Nothobranchius furzeri: one gene and its partner. The protein of the gene in region 1 purifies or fractionates together with the protein of each later gene. This does not show direct contact. Links are inferred from orthologs where the notes say so. Each region holds a gene or a part of one and is shown in the gene's direction. Other genes may lie near its edges.

Evidence for each region.
Region 2: the proteins of mafa (region 1) and usp5 purify together in Homo sapiens (affinity purification with western blotting; 3 studies listed by BioGRID, with this or other methods). This does not show direct contact. The link is inferred for Nothobranchius furzeri from reciprocal best matches to the Homo sapiens genes MAF and USP5.

The regions. Positions count from the first base shown.
Region 1 is NC_091749.1:56,429,600-56,440,171, forward strand, and holds the start of mafa (transcription factor Maf), read left to right. Parts: upstream 1-3,843; 5' UTR 3,844-4,406; coding exon 4,407-5,374; intron 5,375-10,572.
Region 2 is NC_091745.1:74,218,507-74,228,978, forward strand, and holds the end of usp5 (ubiquitin carboxyl-terminal hydrolase 5), read left to right. Parts: intron 1-2,399; coding exon 2,400-2,593; intron 2,594-2,746; coding exon 2,747-2,818; intron 2,819-4,574; coding exon 4,575-4,662; intron 4,663-4,756; coding exon 4,757-4,882; intron 4,883-4,960; coding exon 4,961-5,114; intron 5,115-5,195; coding exon 5,196-5,358; intron 5,359-5,437; coding exon 5,438-5,526; intron 5,527-5,656; coding exon 5,657-5,842; intron 5,843-6,062; coding exon 6,063-6,206; intron 6,207-6,291; coding exon 6,292-6,434; intron 6,435-6,556; coding exon 6,557-6,707; intron 6,708-6,832; coding exon 6,833-6,917; intron 6,918-7,587; coding exon 7,588-7,681; 3' UTR 7,682-8,431; downstream 8,432-10,472. Other genes in the region: uncharacterized protein cd4-2.2, read left to right, coding at 9,803-9,830, 10,019-10,180, 10,267-10,407. UniProt on the Homo sapiens protein: Deubiquitinating enzyme that participates in a wide range of cellular processes by specifically cleaving isopeptide bonds between ubiquitin and substrate proteins or ubiquitin itself.

The DNA.
Region 1 (10,572 bases):
AAGCCCTTTTCATATTGCATATTACATATTTTTGTATACTTACTGTAAAGGACCAACCCCCTCCCCTCTCCTTGCCCGTTTCGCATGCCGATCTTGCCCCCCCACTTCTAAAGTCAAAATTACACGTCCGTGGTTTGAGCTTTGGGCCATGGTGCCTTATCCTGTTGGATGTGTTCATAAAGGGATGGGCATGGTCCACAACAATACTCTGGTAAGCTGTACCAGGGTCAGGTGGAGTTGAGGGGACCAAGAAAAACATCATCTGCCCATGTAGCATCATGAATGTCCTGTTTTTGACCTAAAGGTCATGATCTGCTGCAAGTTGTATTTTACTTTCCTTGGAGTTAATACGAAGTGTCACTTAATCCCTGCAATAAAAAGTTCCGATGTTCTGGTTAAAATATTCAAAGATCCATCAGATTTCATATTTCTATGGAATCTCACATTTTATGGTTCATAAAGTAAGATGCAAACTACCCATCCTTTACACCCATTACACTAACACCCCCCCCCCCCCCCACCCAGAGCTGTTGATACAAAGCACAAATGAATAAGAAGAAGAATGAAATAAAAAATAAATTATAAATAAATAAAAAATTAATAATAAAATGAATAATTCCAGTTTCTTCTGGTCCAGCTTTAGTGAACTTGGTGTGATCATCTGCTCCTGGAATTCATCTGCTTCAAATTTCAGCAAGCAATGTGTTCGGTGATGGTATTGTACAGAAACTGCCTAATAAGTTATTCATTGCCTGTTTAGAACCTCTCTGGCCATTGTCTATTGACCTCTAACATCAACAAGACTTGTTTGTCCAAACAAGTTCTCTTTTTTCCAATCATTCTTTACAGTTGTGTGTGAAAATTCTGGTAGATCTGCGATATTTGGAATGCTTTGAATTGGAGCCAACAACTAGGCCACATTCAGACTCATTTTAATAGCTTGTATTTGATATAGTCCCTTCTAGGGTTCTACAACCCCCCAAGGCACTTTACAACACATCCTTCATTCACCCATTCACACACACATTGGTGGTGATGATGAGCTACAGTGTAGTCACAGCTGCTCTGGGACACACTGAGAGAGGCAAGGCTGCCGAACACAGGCGCTGCCGGTCTCTCTGACCACAGAAGTGTCTTGCCCAAGGACACAACTGCCACAGACAGGGCTTGAATCTGCAGCCCTCCGGTTATGGGGTGGGCATTTAAAGCTTGGTTTATGCTTGACACATTCACTTTCCACGCGATGATGCGGCTCACGGCTGGAACGCGCTTCACAACTCGCAGTGTTTATGGTTTGTGCGGCTCGTCTCTGCGGTGAGCCAATATTCTCCCAAACTGAACGGGGCAGCATGGAGCTCTACGGCATGCATCCAACACTACACCATAGTAGAAGTAGAAATTACTGTTTACAACACGGCATTTCAGCATATTCAACGGTGTTCTCGTCTTTTCCGACAGTGCGAGCTATTTCTCTCCAAGAATTATTAACAACATGTTGATCACGGTGATCTCTGAGAGCCGAATCATACAAATGTCTGTGTTTACGAACCTCTGCTATACTAGTTCTTGCCGGTCCGCCATGTTTTTCCGCGTCCGACCGTCCGCGTGGTTAGAAGCATAGGCGTCATTTTAACCGGGGACGCCGGGGACATGTCCCCGGCAAAATTTGTGATTGGCAGCTGTGTCCCCCCTACTTTCAAAAAAGCCTGCCTTATTGTCCCCAGCAATTTTTAAACCCCACTCAAGTGTATGGTTATTGTCCCCAGCAATTCTGAAAACAAACTGACGCCCTTGGTTAGAAGATTTCCAAGGTGAGCGTTGCGGAGATCTTGGGCCGTGCGGAGACGCGGTGGAGGGGCGTGGTTGTTAAAATGACGCAAAATGACGCAACTTTTCCGCGCGGAGCCGTGCAGACCTCGCGGACGCGTCAAGCATAAACCAACCTTAACTCCTCTGCCATCATTCTTTCAACAAGTTGTATTCTCCCGTGCCTATATGATTTAAGTTGCTGCTATGTTGTTGGCAAATCAGATACTTCTGTTAACAAACAATTCAACTGGTGGGCCTAAGAGAGTGTGCGCACGCGCACGCACACACACACACACACACACACACACACACACACACACACACACACACACACACACACACATTTTTCTAAGGAAAACTGCATAATAACATTTAACCAAAGTCTCCCAATTTACAAAAATAAATTTTAAAATTAAATTTCTGAAGTTACCTCAATATTTAATAAACTGAGTTAAAATGAAAATGAAACAACCTACAAGATGCATGAGTTTGATAAGACGCGTGAATTAATTTGCATTAACCTCAGCAATGTGGCTTAAGTACACACAATGATATGAGCAGAAGAAAATCTTATGAGACTGTTGTACACAAGTCAATTAAAAGTGTGAGACCTCTGAACTGAGATAAGAAGCAATGTTCTAGAGAAGTTTATTTGACACCCAAAGCAACGCCTGACAGAGCTCAGATAAACATATGTTTATGACTCCTGCACATAATAGTTGTTTGAACTCAACACTGGGTTCACCAGCTTGTATTTCCTCCAACATATGACCTCTTCCAGACCATGATCTCCTGACGCCGGCCCAGCTGGACTTAGAAGAGCATCCGTTTGGGTTTGAGATTCATATTAAATAATACATTTAATAAGAGTAAATTTTCTTTTTCTGGTTTAAAAACTTGAACTGCGTGACAACTTTCTGAAGCTGCAGACTGACTTTTGCTCAGGTGTGACCAAAAGGTGGCAGTGTTGAGTTTTATATAGGAACGTGCAGCTAGGCATGATGAACCTCTCCGGTGCATGTTTTAATTTATAAACGACAAAGTCTGAGTTACAGCAGCACAGAATCGTTTAATTTTGTCACTTCTGTTTCAGACTGACTTCAAGGACTCTGAAACTACAGAGATGGAATGATTAAATGAAGTCAGAAGCACTTATTTAAATGTATTATTATCTAAGAGGAAACTAGTGAAAATAGGCTTACATGGAGTTGGAAAATAAATGATGGTTCATGTTTAAACATATCATCGATCTATCTATCTATCATATATCATCTATCTATCTATCTATCTATCTATCTATCTATCTATCTATCTATCTATCTATCTATCTATCTATCATCTATCTATCTATCTATCTATCTATCTATCTATCTATCTATCTATCTATCTATCTATCTATCTATCTATCTATCTATCTATCATCTATCTATCTATCTATCTATCTATCTATCTATCTATCTATCTATCTATCTATCTATCATCTATCTATCTATCTATCTATCTATCTATCTATCTATCTATCTATCTATCTATCTATCTATCTATCTATCTATCTTCTATCATCTATCTATCTATCTATCTATCTATCTATCTATCTATCTATCTATCTATCTATCTATCTATCTATCTATCTATCTATCTATCTATCTATCTATCTATCTATCTATCTATCTATCTATCTATCATCTATCTATCTATCATCTATCTATCTATCTATCTATCTATCATCTATCTATCTATCTATCTATCTATCTATCTATCTATCTATCTATCTATCTATCTATCTATCTATCTATCTATCTATCTATCTATCTATCTATCTATCTATCTATCTATCTATCTACCATCATCATCATCTATCTATCATCTTTTTCTCTCAATTGCGAAAAGTTTTGTCCCGGGAATTTACGCCCGCGGCGCGCGCTGTTTCATTAATATTATTTTTTTAATAAATAATAATTAATGTTCTTAAACTATAATAACTGAGTGTTTATTATAATAAACATTTAGCTGAGTGCGGCAGCGCAGCCCGTTTCCAGCTGACAGTCAGCTGGCCGCTTCTGACAGTTGAGAAAAGTTTCAGTGCGCGTCTGATATGTTAATTAGCTCTTCCAAGTGTGCGACCCTATTGGCTCTTCGTCCGAGTCGATTTCCCTTTTCCAGCCTGACGTCAGGGCAGCTACAATCCTCTTAAACTCATCTGCTCTGTGATCCCTCTTAAAAAATCGTCCCACCAGTCAGCGGCTTCTGAACGGAGCGAGGCTGCGTCCCACTGCCCCGCTCCTCGGTTCGTCTCCGCGTAACGCGCTCCTGAAGAAGCCGGTAAAGTGTTAAATGTTTGAAAGACCAAACCGCCGCGGTTCACATGCTGAAAAAGGATTCCGCTGCTCGTGCGCGCGGCACTGCTGTGTCTGTGCAATAGACTCTGCAAAAGAAAAACTACTCTCACACGCCTGCACGTCCGGGACGCTGAAACGCTCATTTTTCAGTTTCAAGACAAACGCTTAAAAATCAAACTGGCTCACGTTCTTCCAAACCAGCCCAGTTTGACAGCTGCTCTTCAGCCCGCTTGGAGGACTGTCAGCAGCAGCAAGAGGATGGCATCAGAGCTGGCAATGAGCAACTCCGACCTGCCCACCAGTCCCTTGGCCATGGAATATGTTAATGACTTCGATCTGATGAAGTTTGAAGTGAAAAAGGAGCCGGTGGAGCCCGATCGCAACATCAGCCAGTGCAGTCGCCTTATCGCCGGGGGATCCTTGTCTTCCACCCCGATGAGCACGCCTTGCAGCTCGGTCCCCCCTTCCCCAAGCTTCTCGGCGCCCAGCCCGGGCTCCGGGAGCGAGCAGAAGACACACATAGAGGACTTCTACTGGATGTCCGGTTATCAACAGCAGTTGAATCCAGAGGCGCTGGGCTTCAGCCCCGAGGACGCAGTCGAAGCGCTGATCAACAGCACCCACCAGCTCCAGTCCTTCGATGGCTACGCAAGAGGCCAGCAGTTTGCTGGTGGAGCCGGAGCAGGAGGCACCATGGCCGGGGAAGAGATGGGGTCCGCCGCAGCCGTGGTGTCAGCCGTCATCGCCGCGGCAGCCGCTCAGAACGGAGCGCAGCACCACCACCACCACCATCATCACCACAGCAGCAGCCACCACCAGGCACCGGGCGTCCAGTCCAACGGCACCTCGGGGACAAATCACTCCCACATGCGCCTGGATGAGCGGTTTTCCGACGAGCAGCTGGTCACCATGTCCGTGCGGGAGCTCAACCGGCAGCTGCGGGGGGTCAGCAAGGAAGAAGTGATCAGACTGAAACAGAAGAGGAGGACCCTAAAGAACAGAGGCTACGCGCAGTCCTGCCGCTTCAAGCGGGTCCAGCAGCGGCACGTCCTGGAGGGAGAGAAGACGCAACTCCTGCAGCAGGTCGATCACCTAAAACAGGAGATCTCCAGGCTGGTCCGGGAGAGGGACGCGTACAAAGAAAAGTATGAGAAGCTCATCAGCACCGGCTTCAGAGAAAACGGGTCCAGTAGTGACAACAACCCTTCATCCCCGGAGTTTTTCATGTGAGTCTCGACGCTTACAAACCCCACTTAAAAAGTTTGCATTTCCAAACTTTTTTCATTTTCATTCATTTTTCTGGCCAAAATAGACCAAGACATAAATTGCCAACTTTTTTTCTTTTATTTTTATTATTTTCTACCCCTTTTCTTTTTTTAGTTTTTTTAAACATTTTTGGGAAAAACAACAATTTCCTCAATTCTTTAATTAATTTAGATTTGCCATCTGTTTCTGTTTTTTTAATGATTTTGAAGACGCACGTTGAGAAAACTTTCATCCCCTTTCTGCGCTCATCCGCAGCATACTTTTGGCGAGACCGTTTTCCCTCCCTCCCTTCACAGTTAACTGATTTTTTGAAAGTTTACCCAACTTCGTGCCGCAGTAAATGAAGCGCGCATGCAGGCACGAGGTTCCCCAACATGTCCTTTTTACACCAGCATTCTGTTAAATCCGTGTAAAACTGCAACAGTGACTGTTAGTTTTTTATTATTTTGTATGATTTTTTCTTTTTGTTGCCATACTTTGGAGGATCGTACACCATGCATTTTGACGCCACCTCATCTCATGCTTGTTATTGTGTTGATCAACAACAACAAAAGACACTGTGTTCATTACCAAACATTGTTTTTCTTTTTTATTATAAGAGATGTGTTATTGGACTGCCCTGCATGCTGGACATGTATGGTTTTCTTTTCTTTTTGTGCTTTGAAGATGTCGGTTTTGTGTTGTCGGACTCCAGCATGGCATTCATAATCATGTTTTTGGCCTTCTCACTTTTTTGGACCAAAAAAAAGTGACAGGACTTCCCACCCACCCCCTCCTTTAGCAATCTATACAAGTGCATTTCAGCTGTGTTGAAGTGCTCCACCATTTAGGCTGAATGCGCTCAGCGTTCCTCATGGAACTTTTTTGTCAGCGCGGATCCTGCTGCAAAAGAGGGGCAAAGGAAAAAAATGATTATGAAAAACTCATATTTTTATCCCCTGGATGTCTAGTCTGTTGCTTTAAGCCTTTGTTGTTATTTAAATACATACCATTGTGCATTTTTTAAAACATTTGAATATTTTAAGCGTAATTTAAGGACAAAGTTTTATCATCTAAGTTGCAAACGTGCTGCAGGTTCAACTAGATTAGTGCTGTACATTTTAAACATGCATTTAATTAAAAATTGGCTCGGCTCCAATTTTGACATAGAAGTGTATATTATTGTCCAGTGCATAAACAGTGCTTTTTTTACTTGCAGCATGTGCTTGTAAACCTCTGCTCTGCAGGTCTCCACCTCATATTTAAAGTTTGTGGTTCAAAAATATTAAGAATTATAATGAAAATAAAGGAAATGATGGAATAGGAGAAAATCTTCGCTGGAGGTGAAGTTTTTAAATTATTATTGTTATTTTATATTTTGGAGGGGGTGTTAATTCATTAACCTGACAAACTGAAATGCACTAAAATTCTCCTCTCATATTGTTGAAGTTTTGGGGGTAAATCCTCCCATAAAGATACGTTTGGCATTACAATCGTAAAGTTTTCAAAGATTTAAGGGTGAATTCAGAGGAAACTGGCATGAAGCAATAAGTAATTATTATTATAATCAATGATGTCTGGACATTGTTAGATCTTCAGGGATTGTCGCCCTGCATGTACAAAATGAGAGTTACCGTTCGCTAAAGACTGTTGAGGATGTGTTCATTTATCTTTCATCTTATAAATAGTATATAAATATAAATATTTTGCTGTGCAAAATTATACCACTCACTAACCATATGTGATGTTCATATGTGTTTTTTTTCATTTCATACAATTAAATGATATGCAATACATGTTTCTCATTTTCTTTTTTGTGTTTGTGGTTAAAGCGGCACTGTCAAATATAAAAACCGGTCAACCCAATGAGCAATCTGCTCAAGCTGAAACTGGAAAGCTTTGGGAGGCAGCGAGACGTTGTGATTTTAGCACATTATTTACTGAATGTTTCCCTTTTCATCTTTCTCTCACCAGACAAATATGATTTATGAGCATCTATTTTATCTTTTGTTCTGATTTCTCAACCAAATTATTACATTAAGTTACATTTTGACTTCCAAGCTTTGTTTTAAACTTATAAAGTGCATCCTAAAGGGTGTTTTTAAATATATTTTATGGTTATATTTGCATGATGTCCACTTCACTGTCCACTTTGGCCTGTGGTTTGTCCTTTTCATCCACTTTATGCTCGTGTGTGAGCCTGCATGCATGTGTGTTCTATTTAATATGTGTGAAAGTGTGTGTTTCCATGGATGACAGTAGATTTTGATTGCATCTATTTCTTTATGTGGATTTCTTGTTGTTTTGCATGTTTCAAATTTGTACCTCCCCATTTGCTCTTTCTCTGTTTCCCTGGTGTGTTTGTGTGCGGTGTGCCCGTTGTCTGTCCTCTTCTTTTTTTATTCCAAACGGCTTGTGCTCACTGTTATTAGCATGTCAACATTTGGCGTTCCCTGTTCTTCTCAGCCTTATTCTGCTCGTCAGTGGGTCTGGATGTTATTCCTGAGCAGGCGTGCTTTTGGTCGATGGGGAGCAAAGAGGGCAAAACCACGAGAAGCATGTGAGGGGGCGATGGCGAGGGTACAAGTCAGCCACTGTGGAGAGATTCGGCAGCTCTTTAGCAAATCTTGCATTTCAGCTTTTAGACATCTCATGTGCTGCTACTTCACTGCACTGGTGTGTTCAGTGAAACCTCCACTTTTGCGAGCGAAAGTGAAACATAAGTTCAATGTTTCAGAGCAAGTTGTTGAAACAGGAAGAGATGTGTGCCAAAACACACACGTTAAATAAAAGATTTGCAGAGGACAGATCTAATCTGGGTTTGTCAGCTTTTTGTAGTTAAGCCACAACGGCTGTGAGAAAAGGATACTCCAAAAGGACACCTCTTATTAAAGCACACAGTGTTAGGGTTGAATGTGATCTGCTCTTTGTTACATTTCAATGCTTTTCACCTTCAGTTACACACAACAGATGAATAAATTAAAGCAACAAAATACATAATCTGCACCATCTGCACTTGATGATGCAGCTGCACAGCTGTCTCGCTCTCCAAATGGAAAAAAAACCTAAAATAAAAACTAGAAAAAGGGATTTTTAACCCACCACTTGTATCTCATCTGAGGTGGGTGTGCTGCTTCTGCTGCCGTGGTGGCTGATCCGCCCCGAGTCAGTGGAGAGACTAAGACAATAGACGGTCTTGGGCTGAATTAAATGATTTTGCTGATGATTAATAGCGGTGTGGGCTGCTGGCTCCTGCGATGTAGAGATGATAAATCGTGAGTGCAGCTCCGTGCAGCTGTGCCCGTTTTGGGTCTTAGCATGCACACACCATGCAATTTACAACCAAGCTGCTCTCCTTCTTTCTCAATTTATCTAATTACATCTATTTGATCTGAGCAGTAGCACTGCTACATTTTGATACTAACCAAAACATTGTGCTGGATTTCTTCAGGGAGGATAACTGGGTGTGGCTATTTTAGATCCTAAAAGAAGTTTATCTAAAACAGAAGATTAATTCTTCACCTATTGTTTTACAGTAAATGAGAGAAACAAATTAGCTTTTGAAGTTCTTTGAGTGGGATTTAAAATAAAATGGAAATGTTTCAAAGGATGGAACGTGCATTGGAACTAACTCCACTCACCAGCCAACAAGCAAAAACACAAACTTTTTAAGTGGTCTGGCAAAATGAAACTCGTTTCATAGACTGGTTTTCATTTTACGTCTCTTTGTACAAATATGTGACTCTGTGACACTTGAGTGAAGACAGACCTAATTTTAACAAAAGAAGAAGAAGAAGAAAGGGGAAAACAAAAGAAAAACAGGATGCTGCCGCTCATATATGTGGCACCAGTGCACAATGGTTACTTAAGTGACAAATTGATCGATCTTCCAGAGATGCACCCATGTGGAACTTCAGCTCCATGCAGGCTGACTTTGTAAGAAGCAGCACGTTGTTCACTCAAGTAGCAGCATGCCAGCTGACAGATCAGAAATGAGAGGCTGCTGGGAGATCTGAATAGTTCCAGGCTTTAGATGGCGCCGGAGGCCGGGCTGGAGAGGAGGATCTTCGTCTTTCCGTTTGTCTTTGATTCTGTACAAGCCGAGTAAAAAGGTTGCGTTGGAGTTTCTTACACATGCATGTGTTAGAAATGAGCATATGAGCACCTTGGCATGCGTCTCTCTTTTGGAGAAGAGGATGAGCAGAGGTCAGAAGTTACAGTGCACAAGGCTGCTTTCAAAGTCATTAGAGTAATCCTTGCCCTGGGGAGCTCATGCTCATTTCCTCTGCCCAGACTCCCACCGAATGAGCTACACGTGCACATCCGGCATGGCACAGTTCACAGCAAATTCAAATACTCACACTTTTTTAATCATTTCTTGTATTTCACTGATTTCTTCTGTCGTAACACATTTATTTTTTCATTTAACACTCCAAGTTTTATGTTGATGACCATTCCTTTTAGGAGACTGATTTAACTTTTTAAAGGCACATGCACATGGTAAGTGTTAAGAAGACAAAAAAGGTGTTCAAACATAGAGTGCAGCCCAAATGTTTCTTTAGAGCTTTCAAACATGGCCGAGGAGGCACCAGACGACAAGATTTGTTTCATGCTGCCAAATATGCTTCTTTTACATCACATTGCTCTACAGCAGAAAGCCTGAGTCAGTGTTAAGTGTTAAAATGGCAATTCCTGAAAATTGAAGATAATTTAAGGCAGTCATGAAGAACAATTACTCCATTTTAATTAAAATCATACAGGTGTGTAATCTGAAAGAAAAGTTAAAAAAAATAAATATTTATTTTACTTCACTTGTATTTGGACAAAAAATGAGTTTCTGTTTTCAGTATTAATCTTGTTTTTACATTTTTGGAGTCAATTATAGCTTTTTTTAGTTGCAATTCACTCAAACTGTTTGCATTCATTTTTAGTTTTTTATCAATTAAAGCAAAAATCAAGAGTTTTTCCTCAAAGGACACCATCTACAGGCAGCTCTCGTTCGTGAATGTGCACCTCTGGTTAACGGAGCTAGTACACATTGGTTTACAATTATATATATATATACATACTCTAATCTGTAAGTGGATGTCTACCAATAACAATATTAGCTAATGCTGAGCATAGCTGAATTCAGTGCATGAGGCTGTACGAGATGGGGGCAGCGCTTAGCAATAAAAAT
Region 2 (10,472 bases), on another chromosome or scaffold:
GTATTTTATTTAGAAAAACCGACACCGCTGCGAAGCTGCAGAGCGCTACTCTCAGGAGTGAAGGGAAACTAGAGACGACAGTTCGAAGTAGAGGGAGAGAAAAGGTACCTGACGCCGGGGACACACCGGTCGCCGAAGCGCCGGGAGGCGAAGCGCTCACGAAATTCGGCCACTGCTCCTCAGTTCAGACCTGACGCTTCTTTCTCTGCTCCTCTGCTCCGGTCGAGGCACGCCTCGTAGTTTTTCTTTTAACCACTTGGTGTCCTCCATTTCCTCTCTGCCTTTTCTCTGCTCTTTTCCTCTACACCCCCCTCCCCCTTGCTGTTTGTGTGTGTATGTGTGTGTGAACCTATGGTGTGAACCAGTTGTTAATAGCTGTCCTACGACTTTCTGCCTCTCTGTCCTGTTTGCTCCATCCGGTTGAAAGACACCCAAAACCACACCCCCTTCACGTGGTCAAACACACAAGTTCGCTGTGTGTGTGTGTGTGTGTGTGTGGTTTTTATGCAGTGTCTGTTTACGAACACATTTGACTATCGTGGAATTGTATTTTGAAATGCTTTATTTTGTTAAATTTACCGGCCTGCCTCTTATGTCTAGGTTTGACTTCCTGCCAGAATTGACGCGGTTCACCCGCGGCTCGCGAAAAAAATAGAGCAGACGCCGAAACGATCGCTGCACGGCACGAGCTAGAGCACCGGTGCGTGGCGCTTCGGCGGCCCATGTGGTCTATAGAATAGGATAACAAGGGCGCCGAATGAAGGCGGCCCCAATTTCGCGGCGCTTCGGCGGCTGGTGTGTCCCCGGTGTAAGGAAGGTTAAGTTAAATGCATTTTTAGTGAAAACAAGCCTAATGTTAACACAGAGTGATCATAACGTCACCGCGGTGAAGTTAGTTGGACTTCGGTTAGCTGTGTTTCGAGGACTCGTGCACGAGAGCAGTGGGTCGCCTGGGGGCCGTCAACAAATTTCTAGTCATTCCAAAAAAGAGGTAAAAAAATCAAAAGCTTCCAGATTAACTGATTAACTCATTCACTGCCAGCCGTTTCCTGATCAGAAAAGCCCTTCGATGCAGCATTTTTACAGTTTTTTTTTAAGAGTCACAGAACGTTGCGCGCTAGGATGACGTCAACGCCAAAACAACCAAAACAAAGCGGAGACTCACCTCTTACATCTGGAAGAATCTGCGAGTTTTGAGCGTTATCCGTTCTTTTGTAATCCGTTGTTGAATTGTGATCTGTAGAAGCTTTTCCAGTTCGTGCCTCACTTTTTTACAGCAGCGGCCCAAAGTGATCTCCCAACACATGGATGTTCTGCTTCCTGATCACGTGACGTGTGACATATGCGGATGAAGATCGGCTTTAGAGCGGAGATTTTTGTTCTGACGGTGCGGGGGCTCGTCCGACGCCCACACCGTAACAAAGTGCAAATGACGACTTAAGTCGTCATTTGCAGTTAATGAGTTAAATGACTCAATCGATTCTCAGTTGTGTTACTGAACTAAATCAACAAGACACAACACTTTTTTTTTTACATATTTCACACAATCTAACAATTTTTAATCAGATTTTCATTTAAATAAAGTGATTTTCTTCAATATCTTCAAGGTAAATTTATCTAAATACTCTAAACCAATTCCCAATTCTGTTACTAAAACATCACAGTTTAAAACATTCCTAGAGGAAATTCTGTAAAGGTTACCGACAAATGTGACCAGTTTTATTAGTTTGCATGGATGATAAATTAGAAAATGAGCATGCTTTGATTTTATCTTTTAATGGCTTTAACTTCTACCACCAATAGACACACTCGTCAATGTTTGTCTCCTTTATTATGAGGAAATCCTCCATTGGAATAAACTTTTTAAATCAGTTGCCAGTCCGCTGATGGAAATGAAACTTTTCTGTTGCTTTTTTCACTGTAATCATTTTCTGTTGTTCCGCAGATTCTAGTCTCTTTTCTGAAAGCAGAGAGGATTTAGTTCAAGTTGATTTCTTTGGTTGTTTTTGTAAAATTTAAAGAATTCTCTGCTTCCCTGAATGTTTGCATTACACAGACGGGCCTCTCTTTTCCGAACACCTGCATGTTTCCTGACTCCTGGCCAGCTGCTGCTTCTGTGCAGAGCTTTTATTACACAGATGTCTGTTTTTCTAAGATCAGCATACCCCTCGCTGTTCTCTAATGTGGTGTGTTGTGCTAATGTATTTGTGCACACGCTCGCAGACAGGGTGTCAGAAATAAAACAGACGGCAGATTGCAGCACTCAGCGCTGTAATGAGTCCTTGTTCATCTGTCTGCAGCCATTACCCTTCAGCCGGACTAGTTCTGCTGCTCCTTCATATATCAGGACTCGGTCCACTTCCTCTGGTGTTTTTATGTCTTCAACTCTCTGCTCTCAGACGGAGAGGACAATGACAGAGCTGGAGATTGCTGTAAACCAGCGTGTGGGGGAGTGGGAGGTGATCCAGGAGTCGGGTACCACCCTGAAGCCCCTGTTTGGCCCCGGCCTGACTGGGATGAGGAATCTGGGGAACAGCTGCTACCTCAACTCCGTCATGCAAGTGCTCTTCACCATTCCAGACTTCCAGAGCAAGTAAGTGCCTCACCTTTAAAAAATAAATGCTGTTTTTGTTTACAATTTTCATCAATCTGTCTCTGAAGTGTCACTAATGTTACCATATAATCCTTAAAGATGGTAGAAGCAGGATGGATTACCCAAGTGTTTCACACACTTCTGTTCTCGCAGGTACGTGTCTAACTTTGACAAGATCATCAACGATGCGCCGAGCGACCCGACCCAGGACTTCAAAACTCAAGTGTGAGTTTCCTCGTTATGCAAACAAAGCTCTGAGTTCACCACAAGATGCCTGAGAGAGCGGTGCATGAGGTCTCCACACACCGTCTACCGGCTTTTAGAAAATTAAATGAAAGTTTAAAACGTTTCAGGTGGGATTTTTCAGCTTTCAATGTTTATCTCTAGAAACGTAGAGGTTATTTTTCAGAGGAAGAAACGTCTGCTTCTACTGTGGCTTGTTAAAGCTGCTTTCCGGAGTTTTCCCCTTTCAGAAATGATGAAGGATTTTTCAGAAATCCTGTAAAAGCGATTATCTCATCATGTACTGTGGTAAAATGTAAGCGATACGTCCTTTTGTTGTTGTTTTTTGCTAAGCACGCCCCTGCCCCGCATAGCCCCGTGCAATAGGAAACCGAGCGCCGACCAGAACTAGCTAATAACGTTAGACTACCGCTTACTTGCTTCAAATTTAAGGAATACCTCGGCTGATGCAGAGTTAATTAACTTTTCACGGTCAAGAAAGTCTCTAAAATATAAATATATGAGAACACAACATGACATGAGGATAACACTCGTAAAACTGCGTGTTTTAGCTCTGTTTGTCTGCTACAGAAGCACATTTATAAAAAGACACGTGAAGTCGCCATCTTAAACAGAGCAACAGATTTTTTGTGTGATATGCTTGTCAGCCACTAGATGGTGCCATCAGATAAAATGTTTCTTTATTTATGGAAGTTTCAGGTACCAAACATTTTTTCTTGAATATAAAAAAAAAACGACTAAATATTTGCGCTGCCCTGGGAGGTGAATGCAGTTTATGCTGATCATTTAAAGGTGTGGAACACTGAAAAAAATTTTTTTTGATTGTTTCTGATTCTAACGGGTCACTCTTGAGATTTTTATGCAGGCTGAACATGAAAATAGTCTCCTACACCTACCTCCTGCATTAGCTTCTGATAGAAAACAGACGGTGAAACTCTAGGATTAGAAAATCCTGACAGATTTACGTCACCCTGTCACTTTAACATTCGTGAACTCGCCCATCTTGGCTTACAACGGGGAAGGCTGTTGTTGGTTTAGCGTCCAGGAAACCGCAGAGAACGTCTTAGCTAGTAGAAGCTAACCATTAGCATTAGCGAATCCACCACACAGCAGAACTCCTCCAGGTTTGTGTTATTTGTGGAGATAAAACATCAACGTTGCAAGTGAATGGTATAGTTACGTTGCTGTTAGCCAATCAGAGAAGAGATTTATCAGGAAATAAGACTAAACCCTGCTGTCTGAAGCTCAGCTGTGATGTGGATCACTGCTAGTTTCTGGAAATGGTGCTCCGGTGTTTTTAGCCCCCTGCCCGTGTACGACTTACGAGGCATTAATTCCTACTGCAGACAACTGCTAATGTGTTGATTAAACAAGTGTGCCACACCTTTAAAGAGTAACGGGCTTCTAATTAAACATACATTTGGATTGGTTTCTCTTTCTATCAGATTATTTGAGCCTTGAAGCTACAATTTCTAACATGATTTACTAGAAACGTTATTTGTTTGTTTCTGCTGAATTACTCTGGGATGCAGCTTTATGCTGTATTATTTTAAACTATTTCTGCTTTGTTGCATTATTGACAAGCCTTTTTAAATTCTCTACAGACAAACTATCCCTCGGGAGTTCGCTTTCACTGTATTTGGCACAAGCAAAGCCTCATTAAGGCTTCTACTCAAAACCTCCTTTATGAGGTTTCCTGGCTGTTCGTTGATGCTAGCTTTGTTTGTTTGTTCTCCAGAGCCAAACTGGGTTATGGTCTGCTGTCGGGAGAGTACTCCAAACCAGCACCGGACCCCGGCGATGAAAACGGTGCCTCTGAACCCAGGGTAGGAAGTAGGCGGTGGAAGAGAAACCCAAAGCTGCTCGTTCCCTCTCAGACTGAACTAATGCTAGCTCTCCCCGTTGATGCTTTTGCTGCAGGGAGACCAAATCGGAATAGCACCGCAAATGTTTAAAGCACTCGTTGGCCGAGGCCACCCTGAGTTTTCCACCAACCGACAACAGGATGCTCAGGAGTTTCTATTGCACTTCATAAACATGGTGGAGGTAAAGCTGCATGTGTTTTCTCTGGTTAGTCCTCAGCTGGCTTCTCTTTAAACTAGCATGCTTTTCTTTTCCCTACAGAGGAACTGTCGCTCTGGGTCCAATCCATCTGAAGCTTTCAGGTTTCTGGTGGAGGAGAAGATCGTTTGTCAGCAGTCGCAAAAAGCCAAGTACACACAGCGGGTGGACTACATCGTGCAGCTGCCTGTGCCCATGGATCAGGCCACCAATACAGGTGTGGAGCTGATGGGCCTTTAATCCTGAAGCTTGTTGTTTGTTTATCATTTTAATGATTTTTTGAAAACCTAAATAACAGAGGAGCTTCAGGAGGCGGAGCGCCGTCGGGAGGAGGGTGACCTATTAGCACCAACGGTGCGTGCACAGATCCCGTTCTCCGCCTGCATGGCGGCTCTCAGCGAACCGGAAATACTCACCGACTTCTGGAGCTCGGCGGTGCAAGCCAAGACTTCTGCTACCAAGTGAGCCGAGTGATAGCCTCACTCCGACTGAAACAGGTTTTAGAACGTGTTTCCTGATCCCGTTGATCTCGTTTGTCAGAACAACCCGCTTTGCCTCGTTCCCCAACCACCTGGTAATCCAGATTAAGAAGTTCACCTTTGGCCTTGACTGGGTGCCTAAAAAACTGGGTGAGCAGTGATGTCTTTTTGTGATTTGTGTCGGAATGTTGCCCACCGCTTAAAGAAAATGACAAAGATGGATATGTTTGGTTGAAATTGGAAGACTGAAATGCTGATTGGTTTTATTTCTTCTTGACAGATGTGAGCATCGACGTTCCCGATACTCTAGATCTGAGTGCTCTGCGCGCAACCGGTCAGCAGCCAGGGGAGGAGCTTTTACCAGAGGTGGCCCCGCCCCCACTCATGACCCCAGATACGGAGGTTAAAGGTATCCTGGGTTTCCCTGGCAACGAGGAGGACGACTCGCTCTACTCCCCACTGCTGTGTCAGTCTGTCTGTCTTTTCTGCTCCTTCTCTGACGCGTTTGTCCACATTCGTCTCCTTCTGTTCCTTTTTTCTGTTTTCACGAGTCCGTCCGTTGCCTTTTTGGTTCTCTTCATGATGTGACACAATTTGATATTGAAGTTTAGAAGCCGTATATTAATGTAGCACCAGTTAAAAATCTGTTTTACATCCTAGTAATTCATCTGTTTTACGTCATTCAGCTCCAGTCCTCGACGACTCGACTGTGTCCCAGTTGTGTGAAATGGGATTCCCACTAGAGGCCTGCAGGAAAGCGGTGTATTACACTGGAAACACTGGAATTGATGCTGCCATGAACTGGATCATGAGCCACATGGATGATCCGGGTGTGTGGAAAGTCAGGATTTACCAGGCAGTACTCCAACTGAGCGTTCCTGTGTCTTTATGGTTGCATCTTCTGATTGTCCGCAGACTTCTCAGCCCCCCTGGTGTTGCCCGGCAGCAGCACTGGACCCGGGACCACTCCCACCGAGAGTCTGTCTGAGGAGCACCTGGCAACAATCGTCTCAATGGGCTTCAGTCGAGATCAGGCCACCAAAGCTCTCCGAGCAACAGTTAGAGTCGAACTTTATTACTCCGTCACTCATAAACGCCGTATTCTATGTTAAAAGGAGCGGCCGTGGTTGAATGGGGAGAAAAGTTTCCGATATGAACTTTTGTTTTGTCTTTGTCACAGAGTAACATCCTGGACCGTGCAGTGGACTGGATCTTTTCTCACATGGATGATCTGGAGTCCATGGACGTGTCTGAAGGTGGTCGCTCAGCTGCAGAGAGCGAAGGTGGCAGGGATCCTCCACCTGGACCTCGTGTCCGGGACGGACCAGGCAGTGAGTTCAGAAGTTATAGGCTCTACTCAGTCTGGCTGTGAATGAGAACCATACATCTCTATTAGACAAACGTTTGTTTCTAGTGGTTCTGGTTCAAAGTAACTCTGGTGGTCATCTTTATCCAGAATACGAGCTTTTTGCATTCATCAGCCACATGGGGACGAGCACCATGTGTGGCCACTACGTCTGTCACATCAAGAAGGACCAGCAGTAAGTGTTTCTCACACGTTGCTTCTGCCATGTGGGTCTCTACTGCCTCTATAAAAACACCTGATGTGAAAAACCTGCCCATCCGTTTTCGATCAGTCTTTGGTTTTTAGGAATTATGTGCCTGAAACGAGCCGTTTCAAAAAAATCCCCGTTTGTGATGTCACAAACAAGGAAATTAACGTAGAACCACCTCTCACGTGCAATCTAGAGCCGCTGCTGGAGGAGCAGTGGCTCTAATCTGAGCCTTTCCTGGATATTAGAGCTTTTCAGATTAAAGCAACCCGAATGTGCGATGGGTGGGCGTGGCCCACTCCAGGTTCTTTATTTATTTATTTTTTTAAGTGACAGAGCCCTGAACATTTCATTTGAATCACATTAGTTTATTTTTTAAGTGAAACAAAAAGCCAAAAGAAAAAAATGCTTATTTAATGTATTACATGGTTAATTTACCCAATAGAAACAAGGAAATGCAAGCCAATAAGTAAAAATGTTATTGTTAAAGCGTCCCAGCAGGGGGCGCCATAGCCCCACCTCTCGAGCTGCTTTATGTTCTGAACATCACATATGAATATAGACGTTTTAGACATTTTATGTACCCAAATAAACAATATTCATGTAAAAAGAATGATTTTGTGTGTTAAGCTGCGTCGTGTCTCTCTTTTATTCATAGATGGGTCATCTTCAACGATCAGAAGGTTTGCGCTTCAGAGAAGCCTCCCAAAGACCTGGGATATCTTTACTTCTATCGTAGAGTGGCCGAATGAGACGAGGAGGAGGTGATGCCTTCAAACACGCTACAGCAAGCTCTTTAACGCCCTGGCCTGCTTCTCAACTGACAAACATGTAAATAAACCTCTCCGATTGCCTATACACAGTTAAATAAATTGGTGTAAATGTACAGATAAAGGTGTTTGGGGGGTTCTGCTGTTTCTTTTTGATTTACTGATCGCAAACCACAGGCTCAGAGTCTACCCGCCGACTATCTGAGAGCTACTGAAGCATGTAACACGGGCTGTAATCCGAAATATATTCAGAGAATTAGAAAAGTCAGCTTCAGGGAACATCCTCCAAACATCTGAGGGACTAAGATGGCAGCGTTATAGGTTGTTTTTTTTTTTTTACCCATAATTGGTAAGTTTACGCAACTGTTGATGCTAATTGACCCCTGACTATTGATCTGTTTCCACTGCCATCAGTAGTCACTGCCCTAATGTGTTTAGGAGTGCTGTGGTCAGGCCCCTCTTGTTTTACTTGATATCTGCAGCTTCGTGTCACCACGTAACCCAAACACAGCATCCTGTACCGGTCCGAGTGCAGAGATATAACAACCCACCGTTAGAAAGAAGAGAAAAAAGCGAAAACTTCAAAGTTTATCAGGAAAAACACCGAATCCACATGTTTTCCTCAAGTTTGGTGGGGGTGATACCCGGGTGACTCGTGTTTTATTTTAATTTTAAAGACAAGTGCTTTGTTACTTCTGCTGTGATAAATAAAGATTTCTCTGTCAAAATGAATTGTGGAGTTCACGTAATGCTTTTTCCTGCATCGTTACGATTTCTGGTTTATAATAAAGTGACTAGTCGGAGCATGTTTACCTGTTTTGTTAGCTTAAAAACACACAACTTCCTTGATGTGAGTGTAAGAGCAGCATACGGAATGCCAGGCCTCTGCTGCTGCTGCTGCTGCAAAAAAAAAAAAAGCAGCAGCAGCAAACCCACATTGGCCTACAACTTTCCAAAGTGCTGGTTTGTCTTCAACACTCTTCCGCCTTCGACGCGTTTAACATCCTTACAGGCTTGTTTTTCGATGGCATGAAGCACTCCGAAGCTCTGAAAAGGTTTTGACCCTCAGCAGCGGCACAAAAGTGACCCTATCGACTGGAAAATACGGTAAGCTCTCCATCTAAATGGCTAAAATTCAGATTTACATGCAAGCTGAAACTGGTTTCGATATTGCCTCCAAATCTGATGTTGTTGAGTTCAACCCACAATTTTAATACGAAGCGTTTAAAAACATGTTAAGGTTACTGTTTGGTGAATTTTTTTTTTTTTAGATTATTTAAATTGTAGTGAACCAAATAAAAGTGCATTTAAACCAATACAAAAAAAGAAACTTGCTAAATTTAGATTTTTGTTAAATTTTTTGGTGCGTCAACACTTAAGGTTTGAATTTAGTTTATTAAAAGGTGAATTTGAACGTTTTCTTATGTTATTTGCAACACAAGATGACAGAAAAGGCTCCAAAACTACAAAACATCATTCTCATCCATGTATTAAGTAATCTGTTACTAACTGATGTAGTTATATGACACGAAATCCAAAATTGGGGACTTTTGAAGTGATAAAATATAGAAATTATGTTTTAATTTCAGCTGTCTGAAAGTCAACCAATAAAAAACAAACTTGAATATCTAAATAAATGCGTATGTAAGATTTGTTTGACTATTTTTAAGATAAACTTTCTTCATTGGTAGAAAAACTCAATTCTTTTACTGTAAATGAATTTTTGATGAACGATCTGATGAAGTTGCAGCATCACGACTGGAAGCGTCCTAAAATGCATCATCGACTGAGTATTTAAATAAACATTTGTTCATTTATTTTTCCAAATCTAACATTTTCTCATTTCTACAAGTGTTTACATCAAAACGTAGCAATCTTTATCTGTTTTAACTCATTAAAGAGAGAAAAGCAGGAAGCAGAGAGGAGCTTGGTGGTTAGGGATCTCATGTTTTTGGGTAAAGCGCTCTTTCTCTCAGACGCCGTGATGATAAAATGGAAGTTCATCTCCACACCGTGCTGCACTGATGCTCCTTTATGGTTTACTTCAGTAAAAATTCCATTTGTGTTATTTTTTTTTTTTTACTTTCAGGTTCAAAACTCAGAATGAAGACAATTATCTGGTTTGGAGTTGGTGAGTAAATCAAAAAAATATATTTTTAAAGAGTTTTATGTTTTAATGCTATAAAATAAGTGTGATTTCTGTTTTTAAACTATAAAAATGTAAAGCGTTAGGGTTGTAATTAAGCATTAGATGTGTTTATTACATGATTCTACCTTATAAATAAGGAAAGTTTAATAAATGTGGCCCTCTCTCTCTAGTGCTGGGTGCTCTCGCTGCTGCAGGAAAGGTCTTCATCGCAGAAGTTGGGATGAAAAAGGCACTCGAGTGTGGAAACCGCAAGACCATAACAGACGTGCAGTGGAATCATGGTTCTGAACAGATTTGCAAGGTTGATGTTAAAACAGGTCGATCCATTAAAGGTAAATTCAAAAGTGTTTGAAATAAATCACTGTTATTTTCCTTATATCACTGTATAATACATTACTGTGTTTCTCCTCTGCATTAGGGAAAAGTAACATTTTAGAAAGGTCAAGGATAATACAAGACAAAAATCTGCAAATCCGTCCAGTAAAAGAAATGGATGCTGGACGCTTCACCTGTATAGCAGATGGTGCAACTTATGAGCACACACTTATTGTGGTCTCAGGTGAGTCTCAGACTCTGGATGGAGTAATGTAGGCCACATGAGGACTGGTTCTCTAGTATTCTCCA